Daphnia pulex: one gene and its partner. The main gene of each other region encodes a partner of the protein of the gene in region 2 in a complex. Links are inferred from orthologs where the notes say so. Each region holds a gene or a part of one and is shown on either strand. Other genes may lie near its edges.

Region 1 (6,830 bases), on a different chromosome or scaffold from region 2:
ATTACGATCAATTACTCAAAGAGGGCGGGTCGGGTTATTCACTGTGCCCTCTCGAGTTGCGTGAAATTCGCCTGCAGCCCATTCCCAATATGAGTGGTGGTTGTGGTAAGGGCTTATCTAACCTCTTAGCTTAGTACGGCTGATAAGTGTATGACGGAAGAGCGATTCGTGTGTTGCGTACTGTTTTGTAAAGCAGACGATAGAGTCAAACATGCACTTGTACCAACTAATTTCCTTTTCGCTTCTCTTTATTTCGATAGTTCCCGTTTTGACCATATTTGAAGCGGAAAGCCAACAAGAATTGAATCCACCAATTGAGCTGACCAAAGTCGGACGCGTGCTACGCATTACCTTGAAAACACCGCTGAGCCTCAAGGGCGACGTGCGGGTGATCCTCAAAAACAAACCCAACGTGATAATGCTGAAAGAGAAGATGTTTCATTTTTGGTTCAACACCTATTTCGTCAAAGACCAAACTCTCCCACCATCACCGTCCCCATCGTCTCGTCGAACTCTCAATGAGAAAAATGACCTTACATCCAACGGATTGGATAGTACCGCTTCTATGACTAAAGCTGAAGGATTAGCTTTGAAAAATCGATTTATAGGCTCATTAATTGAACGACCGGAACATTCTGGGAGTTATCCGACCAACCATCTCAGCCCGAACCTTGTCTTGTTGTCTAGTTCATCCAGGTGCGTCCTTTCTCGGCTGGTGGATGTAACAACTTGCGTTTTAATGCTTTTGTTCTATTTTAGGGCGTCATCTTTGAATTCAGTGTATTCGGAAAACTCCTCTGCGCCTACCTCGGAGCCTAACCAATGGCTCAGCGTAACGTTAATGAAACGTGAGCTCGATAAAGCTTGCAAAGATAGTAACCATAAAATTTTCCCTTCGGATTTTAAGGCAAGTCATTTGAGTAGTATTCAGTTAAGTTGCAAGAATTTGTTATTTATTTACCCTTTTTTTTAAAAAAAAATAGACGACATTGTACTTCACTCGTCCTGGACAGGTGCCTTTGAGCACCGTTGGAAGTTTACCGAATATGGATTCCGCTGCCCGGGCTAGCCGCAGTAGCATGGCTGTCATGAATTGCAGTCCTGCTATCACTCGTTTCCCCTCTGCCACTTCTAATGGTTCAAACCGACCCAAGACTATTGCAACAAGTGGAAATCCAGGGGTTAAATTGAGTCCTCCTCAGAATCTTGGCCTTCTTGGTCCGATTTGTTGGAGGGCTAATCCGACAACGAAGACTAACGTAGAGGTAACAATTTTACTTCTAATTTCAAATCCGATCTAAAAACAATATGTTAACTACCATTATTTATAATCACAGTATAATTTTATATCAAAACAAACTAAAATTGTGATGACCTTTTCATTTCAGATCAATAATACTGAAGGGGTTGGAGGACATGACCAATTACCTCGCCATTCGGACTCTAGCCAGACTTGGAGTTCCGAAAATGATAGTTCAGACGTAGAAGGGTCAGAGCGAAACCAATTCCAGAAGCCACCGAACCAGGAGCAAGAAGAAGGCGAGCAAGGTTCGTAATCTCTGGATTGATTGTTAGAATCCACGGTGATGAACAAGCAACTCTCGTACCTCTTTAAATTATTATCTTCTCTTTTCATCACTCGATTCTTTCCCCCCCAAATTGTCTACATCTTTTCCTCTTTTCTTCCTTATCTGAAGCGTTTCTATGTATGTTCTTGGGTAGATGATACTTGCACCTCTTCGGATCCTGTTGGTCGCTATCGGTTACTCTCCTTTTCGGCTTGCACCTCTGGGGGTACTCAAGAAATAGTTCGTCTGAGTCCATCGTCTGTTGACCTTACGCTGAAAGGTTGGCCTTCCACCTGAATAGCAGCATGCTGATTTGGTTCCCTTTTTTCTCCGTCTTCTATCTCTTTGTTGGCACACTTCTGTATTACTCTCCTGCCTTTTACGCCTTTTTTTTGTCCCCTTCTCCAGACAGAATCAATCAGTTACTGCTGACGTTTTGCGATTCTACCCGATGTCGGCTTCTTTAGAGAAAACAGCACTTCCGAAATATGCGTAAAAAAAAAACTAAATTTTGCATTTTAAAGTTTGTACTCGGTTCGTTGCAATTATGCAGTTGGACGTGAGCGATGGCTGTTGCGGGTTATAGGTCACGTTTATTGTTCCCTTGCGTATCATCTTTGTTTCTATGGTTCTAGTTATTTTAATAGTTTCTTTTTCCTTTACAAAATCGGATCGGCTAAGGGTATAGAGCAATATCATCATGCTCCTCTTCACATTATCTCTGATCCCTCATTAATTTTCTCGTGTTACGCAACAAATCCTCCCAGTTCTTGTTTAATCTTTTTTCATTGTTGAAATAAACATGTGACCTGGATCTCCCTTTATATAAGAGACACCATGCAAAAATTGGCGTCCGAAGTTCGACATTTTCCCCACACTTCGTTATTGATTAGTTCCATTGGTACTCTGTCGTCACTGCATTTTCTTGTTAGATTCGCACCCTTTTCCATTCAATTACAGTTTCTTATACATGAAATCTCTTTGAACTCCAATCTTTAAACTTACCTACCTTTTTTTATTTTTTGGCCAAGAAATGAAAGATCAATTGAGCACTTATTTATCTTACAGGGGAATCGACCTATTTGTGACCTGGCGTGTGACAAACTGTTAAGAGATTTCTCTTGATTACATTTAACTGACGAGAACCATGTGCGTGTTTGTCTCAAATATCTCATTTGTTTCTTTTTTGTTTGTTCGATTGTTAGGTTGTTTGATTGTTTCTTTTTTTTTTTGTTTTGTATCGGATTGGAAACGGTATGACTGGACAATAATATACTATAACTGAATAGTTAAAAAGCAAGTTAATGTTTTTGTTTTAAGATAATATTGAAGCACACGTCCCACAAAACAAACGCTGATGGTTGTTGAATTTTTGTCAAGTAGTACAAAAATATGATGATCACATCAAATTTAAGGGCGAACTAAAATATTCTTAAGAATCTTGGTACTTTCAACATAACGGACTTCATTGACATTAGCCGCCCGTCTCCATTGCTCTCGTACTCGACCCCAATGAGAACAATGCTGTTAAATGAAAAAGAGAAAAAATTAGTTAAACTGCATTCATTTGACCAAATGTTTCTACCCACCTCCTGCAATAGCGATGATACTGATGGAGCCGCCTCATCTTCCTGTTTTACATGAGTTTTTCCGAAGTCAACAGTTAGTAAAAATTCTACACTGAAGTTCCAAATTCACTTACACACACATTTAGCAGCAAATCTAGTGATTTAGATTTTCCACTGGGCTTCAGATCAAAGGGAATCCTAGTATCTACAATGTTTCCTTCTTCATCCAGAGGCATCGCTTCAGGTAATGGCAAGCTATTTACAAAAGCTTCACCATTTTCTTCAAGTTTTAAATCCTCTTTAACCTCAGCTCCTTTATCCTCCAGTTTCTTAGGGGAATTTGCACTGAAATCAAACACTATATAATATTTCTTTAAGGCTGGAAATTAAATGTCAAATTACTTTGCAGCTCCAAATTGTTGGTTGTTTGGTTGATTTTTTATCCAAGCACGGCAAACAGGATATAGGGGAGTTTGAGGAGAAAATTTTGCAAGATCAACACTACGATCATAAAGCTTAAGCACATAGGAATTTTGGTCATTTTTGTAATGTTTATCCACATTTAAGCGTCTTCTCTTTCTCAATGGAGTTTTAATTGTTCCTGATTTCCTAGGAGATGCTGATTGACTATACAATCATAGCCAAATTGATAAATAAAAACATAATTTTTTAAATTCTTAATGTAACTATTCAGTAAATACCTTCTGCCTTCATGGATTAAATCAGTTACATCTACGTCAGATTCATCGCTATCTTCAGATTCAGTTTTTTCGATCAAAATTTGCAGAGCTCCTTCCAATCGTCCACGGGCAGTGCTAACTTCATGCCCATGATCTATAAAATAAACAATTCGTGTGATGTACAAATGCCATTCAGCAAAACATGTAAACATTAAAGTTGCATACCATATTTCTCTTTATCCTTTCTCATTTCTAGATTTGAAAATAAAGAATTTCACAAAAGAAATTAAAAATTCGACCGAGTTCCAAACAAACACAGCATTGCCACTTTCTCTTCTTTAATGGTTGTCAGATTTTACAAAATAAAACAAGGATATCGGAAGAAGCAGACGAATTGCGGACTTCATAAAGCGGATTTCGATCGGCCGTGAGGAACTGTAAATTTGAGCTGATCCGCTATTCAAATATGAAATATGCCCGAGTGATGATGACTCAAACCGCAAAATAAAATGATTATGCAGAAAACCAAATTTGAGACGTATCTTTCTGAATTTACGAAGTATAAACAAATTATCTAAGTTAATTAGTTAAATGTCACATTTGTATTTGTAAACACCTAAAATTCAATTTTATTTATTTAGTTATATACAGTGTACATTTCTAAACATTCATTAATCTTAATATTTTATTATTAATTTTTACTTTCTTATGCAACAATCCTATGTGTCTGCTGTCTGGATGTTTGTTTGCAGTCCAAGGGTGTAGAAGAGGTATCAATCTTGACATGTTGTGATATTGCTGGTGTTTTTTTGTTTTTTTATCTTGTTTACTTTATCTAAACTCTACCTGACTGATAGGGTAAATGTGGTATATGCACTGAGCTGCTGATCCAAGGTTGAAATATTCCTCATTTGGAAATCAGTCAGCTCCTCATTTGAAGCCACAAAGGAAACTTGGTTATTTTTCATAACCATGTCTATGGTAAGATACATACATTGTGTCAATTTATTGAAACTAAATTTACCCATGAAGAAATTCAAGATAAAGTATTCTAATTATTTTTCTTAATTACAGCCGAGCATATTAGAAGTTGCTAGATTTATAAAAATATATATAGACTACCGTTTAAATGAGAAGTTTTCTTTTAAAATAATTTTGATATCGGCTGGAGCAGCATATTCCATTGCTCGACTACAGAACTTTCTGACAGATCCAGAATTGTGTAAATATTTCACAAGTCTATGTAAGAATTAAGAGCCTCATGCAATAATAATTTATTTTTTTCTTTTATTGAAGCTGTGGCTGAAAGAACAAAGAGATATATTTTCTCATGGATTCGTATGATTCCTTTTGTGAAAAAAAAGGTAGCAGAGGAAAGACTTAAGGCTAAACATATGATGGAAGAAGACATGAATAAATGCACAAAATCCCTTAGTGTCTATTATCAATTGCCTAGTAATGGAAAATCAGTTGAAGAGATTACTAAAGAAGCTAGTGAATATCTAGACCTAGGTAAATAATTTTATCTTAATGCATGAAAATAGATTGGATTAAGCTGTTTGTTTGTTTTTTTAACCATAGGGGACTGTGACTGGAAAGCTGGAGGACTTTCAGGATGTGTTTACAATGTTGATCCAGAAGTTACTACTCTTGTTACGCAAGTTTATGGAATGTCTGCCTGGACTAACCCGCTTCATCCAGAAGTATTCCCTGGAATTCGAAAAATGGAAGCTGAAATCGTCCAAATGGCTATCCATATGTTTAACGGGGGGAAAGATGCTTGCGGCACTGTGAGATAAAAAATGTCGATATTCAACTATTATGTAACTGTCTAACCTTTCGCTATCCAATGCGTTTATAATATAGATGACTTCTGGAGGTTCCGAATCGCTCTTACTGGCCGTAAAAGCATACCGAGACTATGCGCGAAACGTAAAAGGCATAAGAAATCCTGAAATCCTAATTCCTGCAACTGGCCACGCGGCTTTTGATAAAGCTTCCCAACTTTACAGGTTTTATTTATTTTAAAGTGTTTTAACATATTGATACCAATCTTGCTACGACCAGGATGCGCCTTGTTCGAATACCAATAGATCCAAAAACCCAGAAGGCAGACATTAAAGCGATGGAAAAAGCCATCAATAAAAATACTTGCTTGGTATATTTTGGAATATTATTGGGATTTGTCAGGTCACCACTTTGATGTTTTACATGTTTCGTTTTCAGCTTTTGGCATCAGCACCTGGTTTTCCTCATGGAGTGATTGACCCAGTCGAAAAGATTGCCCAACTCGGTCTTAAATATGACATCCCTGTGCACGTTGATGCCTGTTTGGGAGGGTTCGTAATCGCGTTTATGGAAGAAGCTGGCTACAGCTTGCCGCCGTTTGACTTCAGAGTAAAAGGAGTCACCAGTATTTCGGCCGATACGCACAAGGTAATATACAGTGCTTGCTTTCAATTTGATTTTCCACTATAATTTTTGTATGCGATACACTTACAGTATGGCTATGCGCCCAAGGGAACTTCCGTTATTTTGTACTCCCATCCGAAATATCGCCAGCAACAATTCTTTGTTGCTACTGAATGGCCTGGTGGTATTTACGCATCACCAACTTTAGCCGGTTCTCGACCAGGAGGTAAATTTACACTTGTGGACTTATCTTATTTAAATTTATATTAATTGCCCATTTGATTTTGTTAAGGCTTAATTGCTGCCTGCTGGGCGTCTATGATGTACTATGGTCGAAGCGGTTATGTAGAAGCTACTAAAAAGATTGTGGAAACTCATCGCTTTATTGAAAGAGGGCAAGCAATATTTGATAACCTGTATATTCTTCTTCTTCAACATTTTTTATGTTTTTCTTTATTTAGTTTGCGCCAGATTAAAGGCATCCGCGTCATGGGACATCCCGAAGCATGCTGTGTTGCCGTGGACTCAATCGACTTCAACATTTACCGTGTATCAGATGCCATGACCAAAAAAGGCTGGAGTCTTTCTCCTCTCCAATTTCC
Region 2 (7,740 bases):
AAGAATAAACTCAAACGAGCTCGGTTCGGTCGAACACCCCTTAAAATTGCATGAATTCTCCTCCAACTTTGATTTTTTTAAAGGGCGTTTCTGGTTCCTAAAAAAAAAGATATTTGCTATATTTATATTTGTGTTTTAACCCAATGCGTTTTTCTGTATTATATTCATTAAAGAGTTTAATGATAAAGGGAATCAAAAATTTTGTTAAATGAATATTTTTATTATGTGTGTATCTTTTGTAATTTAAAAATGTCTTTCACTGAACATTTGAAAATCATTCGGTATTTTACTAGACAATCTGATTCGCATTATTTACATTTGAATTGATTGAAGATTTTTTTTACTGTTAAACGAGAGGTTTCAGAGACATGTCTAACAAAATTTTTTCTACGCCATGAGTTAATTTATTTCTGTTTCAACAATAGTTAATGGTTATCGTTATCATTGGGTAACGGTAGGTTCCTAGTGGTGGAGGTGACCGCAGGTGCATTAGTTTCGGTACCGTTGAACGGCGTCATGTGGTCAAAGTTACACAATCCAGATTGGATATGCTGCACGTGAACTAAAACATGGTTCCTAAGAGAAGTTAGATTCGATTTGTCTAAGGACTTCCGCAGTTCATCTAAGGAGTCGTGTAAAGCTTGAAGCTCGTAAGCGTTGCGTTCACTTTCCGCAAGGCACTGAAAAAAAAAAAGTATTGAAATAAGTAAAGAGTTGCAGTTTACATAAACGACAATCTGATTATCGATTTTAATTTACTACAATATAGTTAACTATAAATCATCAACTAAAAATATCGGTAAAAAATCTAGCAAATAAAAACTCGCAGTAACAATAACCACGAGCGAATAAATACATTACAAATACCTTGATTTGGAGCATTAAAGATGTGAGACCAGTGACAAGTGCAATAATCGGGGCAGAGGTAACATTTGGATGTGAACCACTTCGAGTATCCAACTGAGTTTCAACCAAATCTCTAGCTTCTTGATAACACAGTTGGCGAATACTATCTGGCCCAGCTAATGGGGATAGACCATGCTCTGAATCCGGAGCAATCTAAACGATAAAAATTCCAAAGAGTTATTAATGTGACTATTTCAGATCGAAAAGTAACAAAATACCTCATGGCATTGTTGTCTGACCTTAACTAGGAGGCTGTTGAGTTCCGTATTCAATTCTTCCAAATCAAGGATGGTACGAGCATAGCGTCGTTGAAAATCGGGTGCAACAGTTTCGCCGACTGACTCTCGGCGTTCAACTTCTGTATTCATATCTCTCAGTCTTCTAACCTTATCTTTTTTCATATTTAAAATCTTCGAGAGTCGTACCTATAGAACAAATATATGTTACAAATTTCCAATAATACGCAGATTTTCAAAGGACTTACGATTGGTGTCAGAACGTGGATGGGCAAGGAGCCAAACGTCGTTTCTTGTGGTGTCAATCTTGAATTAGACGATCCCAAGACAGGATCGCTGACTAAACTTGAAGAATCAGAATGAGAAGTGTGTCCAATTCGTGTGCCACTGACATGTGAAGTTAAAGATAAAGTAGGCATTGCAACTTCAAGGGAAGACTGTTTAATGGGCTGTTGATGTTGACTCGAGATTGTTAGTGTTTGCTGCTGTGAAGCCATCAGTGGTATTATTGCGGGGGTCGGTGGTAAAACAGCTGGGCGAGGGCGAAACCGTTGAGCCAAACTCGATATCGAAATCATGTCTACTGTTTCATTCGACTAACAAGGAAATTTGTTTTTAGTTGAAGATGTCTTTCGTTGTCAAGACGAACATTACACGTACCAAAACTTCGTAATCCGGAACAGAGTGTGTTCCCAATCCTTGTCTATCAAATGTGATGCGGTATGTATTATTGGACGTATCTACGGCATCGATTTGGCCAACGAACAATCCATCCTTTAATGGGAAGAAAAAAATAAATAATTACTACGTATTTATTTTTCCTTCTTTTTAAATCATAAATAATTATAGTCACTAGGTCATAGTTTTAACGTCACACTCCACATATTCTTTTATTGAGCTATGTATACCCACTTCAAACTCTTGCGCTGTTATCTTAAAACACTTAGAATAACTACGGCAATCATCTCATATATACTAAGGGAATCGAAAATACTTCGGCATTTCATTAGACCAACGGCATCTTGGTATGATCACACAAGATTGCCGTCGACTGACGAAAAATCGATAACAATTTAAGTAAATAGCTGAAGTATTGTGCTTAAGTGTACCTGTGGTTGCCGAAGTCTGGCCGTCACTTTGGTGCCGATAACCAAAGGCATAGGGATAAGATCCGGCAAATCCCTACAAAGAGATGCCATATCGCTTACTTTGCGCTGTTGAACTAAACGAATCTTCTGTCTTTTTTTGGCCAATTCTCCTCTTTCTTCATTAAAAAATGCCTAAAATGAATCAAGAGGGGGAAAAATTGGATAAGAAAATGTTAGAAACTGGACAAGCCATTTGCATGAATAAAAATTTAGGCACCTGAGAACAACGTCTTGGTCTTCCCATAAGACGACGGATGGTACACCACTGGGATCTAGTAAGCTGTCGCAATTTCAAGCTGGGGAATGACTCTCGTAAACATAGCATAAAGTCATTGTCGCCTTCAAACAATGCTCTAAAATAAATAAATAAATAATAATAATTAAAAAAAAAAAACGGTTACAGCAAAATGGAGTGCTTCACAAATTATAAGGAAATCGACGAAACACACAACTACAACCATTTCTTTTTCCCCATGCAAGGTATAAAATAAATGGCACAAAAACGTACTGGTCTAGATTACTGTAGAACCATTCATAGCAGACCCATTTGTGCGCTTTGGGTAACTTAAGTAAATTGCGTAAGCGGACACCAAGTTTTTTCAAGTCTTCGGCTTCTTGCTCAGCCGTTGTTGCTGCAACCGAAGGTAAAGCGGCCGCGGCCACAATACTCCGAGCACGACGTCCAACAACTAAAGGTTCACTCTTCTGCTTTTCCGGCAACTAATACAAATGATATAGTATACAATTATTGGCAATATTTAATATATAAAAATTTTACCTTAAAAGCTGGCTTAACCTTCATTTTCTTTAGCTTTGCCTTAACTCGATTAGTAGTTTTGAGCGGCGTCGAAGCATTTGATCCACTGCGACGTTCCGGAGTACCAGTTGCACTGCCAGGTGCAGATCTTGTGTGGCCTGTAACACAATTTACTGTTAATCATGATTACATTTTTTAAAATAATTTATTTAACCTCTCTTTATTATTTTTGAAGTGGTAACTTGAGGTGCTAACTGGTTTGAATGAGATGATCCACTAACACCACTGTTGGATTTTGTGGATTTCCTTGGAGATTTATTAGTAGATTGGTTGACAATAGTATCATCATCAAAGAACAATGGATTCTTTTTTCGAATTCTTGCTGGCTAAAATAAAAATTAGTTTCCACAATTTATTACATCATATAATCAAATAAAGTCCAAATAGTCTCACTTACAATGCCTCTTCTGTTCAATGTGATTGGATTTGAAGTGGTACTCCCAGTTATTTTTGAACTAGAGGATGAATTTACATCACTGATCCGTTTTAATCCAAACATTTCTGGGCCTAAAGTCATTGCTTGATTCGCCTGTTCTGAGTCATCTCCAAAATCAAGCTCTCTTTTCACTTTGAATCCTCCATTTTTGAATGAAAGTAAAGCTTCTGCAGATTCAGCTATACAGAATTTCAAATATAAATATTAAAGTTAAGTAAAACTCTTAACACAATGTACTTCAATTGATTTGGAAAATCTATTAATGCTCAATTTTCATAACAATTGGTTGAATGAGAAATTACAAACTTAAGCAAATATGAGGTAACAATATAAACAAGTAAGGAGCCGTTCTAGAGCTTAACCCAAATCGTATCAGACAGAAATTTATAATAAATTATTAAAACTACAAAAGATTTTCAAACTGAGTTTAAAGAAAAAACATAATTAACCGTCAAAGCTTAATTGTTTGTTTACGTTTTGCAGTTAAGATAACTTACTTTCAAGTAAATCCGCCATTTTCAAGCAGTTTTTTCAACTTTCAGAATCGCTCGAATCGTCAAGCTTGGGACGTTGCCGCATTGACGAATTGTAAACCAAAAAAAAAAATTAATAAAATATTACATTTTTCTTGCTGATTTAGTGATTTTTTTACTTCTAAATTATAATAATCTAAATCCTTTTTCTAATATTTTATTACTATTTTAAATTGTAGCTTGCATTTGTTATTGGATACCTCATAGCTATTAACACTCTCGAATCACAGCAAATTTTTATCCCTGAGGGTAGTACTTGTACTACCAGAAGGCATTAAAGTAAATGCGGGTGTCTGGGTGTGTAGGAGGGGGAGGGATGTGGGGGGAGTGTACGCTGTTCTGGGCCAGGCTTCCAGAACCTTTAATTCAGAATCAGAATAAATTTATAGAAATCTAAACTACTGCATCGATTTTCTTCAAACTGTTTGTGTAAACTTACAGTAATTTATCTCAGCGGATAGGTAAGTTTCGATTCATTTGGTAATACTAAATTTAATTTAATTTTATGCGGATTTAGTCATTAGCTTTTTGTGACTTAGGACAACCACAACATCAATTCGATTGTCTGTTTGTTTTGTTTTTGTTGTCTGATTTATCAGTTAGTCAGTTACCGAACGTCGTCATCATGTTGACATGGTTAGCTTGCAATTTGTAATTATTAAAGTAACGCATAATTTCAACATTCCTGTTTCAATTCTTAGGCAAAAGACTATACTATGGATTACCTTATTCATCATTGTCATTGTAATTGTTTCGCATAGCTAAATGCTTCATGAAGGGTAAATCAACGCAATATCATTTATTATTTTGAGTTTTCTTACGTATTTTGTTTGCCTAACTAATTTTGTTGTGACGCCCAGGAAAATGACCATAAAATGGGTTTGCTTGATTTTCATGGTAGTGTATTAAACCATTTCTGTGAGTCACTCATTGATTTTGTTGTGACGCCCAGGAAAATGACCATAAAATGGGTTTCTTGATTTTCATAGTGCACTAAACCATTTCTGTGAGTCACTCACTGATATAAATACCATATGATGAGTAGTCATCATGTATGGTAAGCACTGAAATAATTTACCATAATTGTAATGCCTCACGATAAATTTTATTTTGACTGTTAGGCTAATGATTAGAAGTTAGACATGAATATGTATCGTCCTCACCTAAATTTGGATGTGCACGTGTCTGTTTCAGAAAGAAAGTTAAGGACAGGAGAAGATGAGCATTGGTAATACTAAATTTTATTTTATTTTATGCGGATTTAGTCATTAGCTTTTTGTGACTTAGGACAACCACAAAATCCATTAGGTTGTCTGTTGACAGTCTGTTGATGTCTTGTTCAGTAAAAATAAATTTCGTCAACAGTTTTGTTATTGTTACAGGATATTGTTTCTCTTTTAGAGAAGTTCAGTGGAACAAAGGTATTTTGGTGTGTGCTATTCCATTTAAGAAATGTACGTAAATTCATCAATTATGCTAGGCAATATTTTGGGATGAACAACTCACTGGCCCCATTGGTTTGGTGGCAGAATACAGTTTTCTTAAGGAACTAGATGTTGTAAAAATGTTTCAGTTAAAACCTGGGCGCTTGCCTTCCATATCTGTTAAAAATATGCTGTTCATCACAAGACCTGAAGTTGAGCTGATGGATTGTATTGCCGATAACTTGCACAGGTATGAATAATCTACATGTTTTAACTTTAAATAGTCAACAATAAGTTAATTTACATTTCAGCGAAGAAAGCCAAGGACATTCTGCTAGTAAGGAATATCAGTTAATTTTTGTCTCCCGACGAAGTGCAGTATGTGAACAGCGGCTCAAGGTTGGTTAAAGTTACTTAAATCAGCGAAGAAGAAATTGTTGACAAAATTATTACTTCATTTAGGACAAAGGAGTGTATGGAACTCTTACTTCTATTGATGAACTGCCTGCTGATTTTTTCCCACTAGATAGTGATGTCATTTCAATGGAACTCGATAATGTTTTCAAGGTATTTATTTATGAGCCAAACTTTGAAAGGGATTGCTTGTCATCAATTTCTTCAAATTTATTCTCAGGATTTATATGTTGACAATGAAATCATCTCCTTACACCAAATTGCTCATGGGTTAATGTCCCTCCAAAGTTTATATGGCATTTTCCCCAACGTTGTGGGTAAGGGGCGCCATGCCCGTAACGTATTCGAATTGATGACTCGAATGCGACGTGATATTGGGGTAGACTGTGATCCCCCCATGTCTCCGTTGTTCGACACTCTCATGATCATTGATAGGACTGTAGATTTGATAACTCCTGTTGTCACTCAGTTGACCTATGAGGGTCTTATCGACGAATTCCATGGAATAAAACATAGTAAGAAAGTATTGTTAGCTTCTGAGTAAAACAATTATTTTACTTGCATTTTGTGGTTTCATTGTTATTTAGATACAGTCAAGCTTCCAGGAGAAAATTTTCAAGCCTCATCAAATGCGGGCCAGTCACCTCGCTCTGATGGTAGCTCTGTTAAATCTGTTGTTCTAAACTCGGCCGAAGAGCTTTACGCTGATTTGAGGTGAAATTTTTAATCAGACAAATTTTGCTTCCGACAGTTTTAAAGTTATTTATTTTCGCAGGGACAAGAACTTTTCAGCCGTGGGTACTGCACTCAGTCGCAAAGCTAAAGCTATTTCAGCTCAGTAGCCTGGATAACGCCATTGTTGCATTTGGAGGTGTTAAGGTTTCTGCATTCGCACGCGATAGTGGAGAAATATTCCTAGACTCCTTCGATGATTCGGTAATCATGGTTAGTTTAAACTCAATAATATTTCTCCAGCAGTTTTTTTCATCGGGATTTTTTTTTCTTGTGTATTCTCTTTAGATCAACCCGGATATACCTGATGAAAGGGAGCTGAGGGAGTGGCTTAAAGACAATCAGTAAACAAATCCTTTTTTACTGATTGTCTGAAGATCTTAATTACTTGACGTCCTTAAACATCGACTGCAGCTAATTGCCTCCATCTTTTTTCTCGAATTGTTGCCTCCATCTGTTTCCCTGAATTGTTGCCTTGCCTCAAACTTTTTTCCTAAAATATGGCTTCGATCTTGTAACCTGAACTGTTGCCTTTTTACCTCAGCCCTTGTGATGGAGAAATTGGGCCACTGTCTGAGTTTAACTCAAGAATTTCGTAAAATGATAAATGATAAAATAATAATAAATTTATTTCGTAAATGATAAAGAAAAAAAATCCAGGAAATTACAATAAACAAAATCTTACGAAATTCCTACATTTTAATTGTTTTGAAAATATAAGCAAAAGCTTTTAACTGATATCTTGCACGTTAATACCCGAGGGCGAACCTGGAAGGGTCTTGTTTCCGCATTAAGCACTGCAAATGAAGTATGTCCAGAGCTGTGGACATAAAAAGAGAACTTTCTTTAGATTATCTGGTATTTGAATTATTGTGGCTATTTTATACCCCCGTCACATCTAATAAATGAAATTAAATAAATACTTCCTTTAAAAGTACACTTGAAGGTCCTAGCTAGAATTTTGTTTAGGATGTTTAAGTCTATCAACTTAAAAATTAAAATGTGCCTTTCAAACGATAAATTAGACGTAGTTTGCATATTTCCTCCCCTTCTTGTTATGCAATAGTGTATTAGAAGGTAACCCACGGTGTGTT

The links.
Region 1: the proteins of protein lin-9 homolog (region 2) and protein lin-37 homolog are in contact, whole or in part, in a crystal structure (PDB 7N40), measured with the Homo sapiens proteins. The link is inferred for Daphnia pulex from reciprocal best matches to the Homo sapiens genes LIN9 and LIN37. Residues at the interface, in NP_001353174.1 of Homo sapiens: Lys99, Ala101, Ser102, Gln103, Lys104, Ile105, Gly106, Arg108, Leu109, Arg110, Leu112, Leu113, Lys114, His119, Trp121, Cys122, Ile123, Glu125, Trp126, Phe127, Thr227, Leu237, Phe238, Leu272, Ser273, Asn274; in NP_061977.1 of Homo sapiens: Tyr95, Ile97, Leu99, Phe100, Asp101, Arg102, Val104, Leu106, Ala107, Phe109, Ser110, Glu111, Asn112, Thr113, Pro114, Leu115, Tyr116, Ile118, Cys119, Arg120, Trp122, Met123, Asn125.

Annotation. Positions count from the first base shown.
Region 1 is NC_060021.1:10,749,905-10,756,734, reverse strand, and holds protein lin-37 homolog, read right to left. Parts: upstream 4,176-6,830; 5' UTR 4,067-4,175; coding exon 4,042-4,066; intron 3,971-4,041; coding exon 3,838-3,970; intron 3,764-3,837; coding exon 3,539-3,763; intron 3,482-3,538; coding exon 3,271-3,481; intron 3,200-3,270; coding exon 3,158-3,199; intron 3,093-3,157; coding exon 2,979-3,092; 3' UTR 2,870-2,978; downstream 1-2,869. Other genes in the region: phosphatidylinositol 3,4,5-trisphosphate 3-phosphatase and dual-specificity protein phosphatase PTEN-like, read left to right, coding at 1-105, 261-696, 760-907, 984-1,265, 1,389-1,548, 1,723-1,865; sphingosine-1-phosphate lyase-like, read left to right, coding at 4,789-4,797, 4,891-5,038, 5,113-5,328, 5,398-5,606, 5,683-5,828, 5,884-5,974, 6,043-6,252, 6,319-6,454 and 2 more.
Region 2 is NC_060023.1:5,468,399-5,476,138, reverse strand, and holds protein lin-9 homolog, read right to left. Parts: upstream 4,111-7,740; 5' UTR 4,060-4,110; coding exon 4,041-4,059; intron 3,723-4,040; coding exon 3,505-3,722; intron 3,434-3,504; coding exon 3,262-3,433; intron 3,206-3,261; coding exon 3,069-3,205; intron 3,011-3,068; coding exon 2,799-3,010; intron 2,644-2,798; coding exon 2,508-2,643; intron 2,423-2,507; coding exon 2,252-2,422; intron 1,917-2,251; coding exon 1,803-1,916; intron 1,739-1,802; coding exon 1,391-1,738; intron 1,332-1,390; coding exon 1,125-1,331; intron 1,060-1,124; coding exon 868-1,059; intron 681-867; coding exon 426-680; 3' UTR 382-425; downstream 1-381. Other genes in the region: vacuolar protein sorting-associated protein 33A-like, read left to right, coding at 5,641-5,750, 5,812-5,899, 5,963-6,067, 6,135-6,429, 6,502-6,628, 6,690-6,756. UniProt on the Homo sapiens protein: Acts as a tumor suppressor. Inhibits DNA synthesis. Its ability to inhibit oncogenic transformation is mediated through its association with RB1. Plays a role in the expression of genes required for the G1/S transition.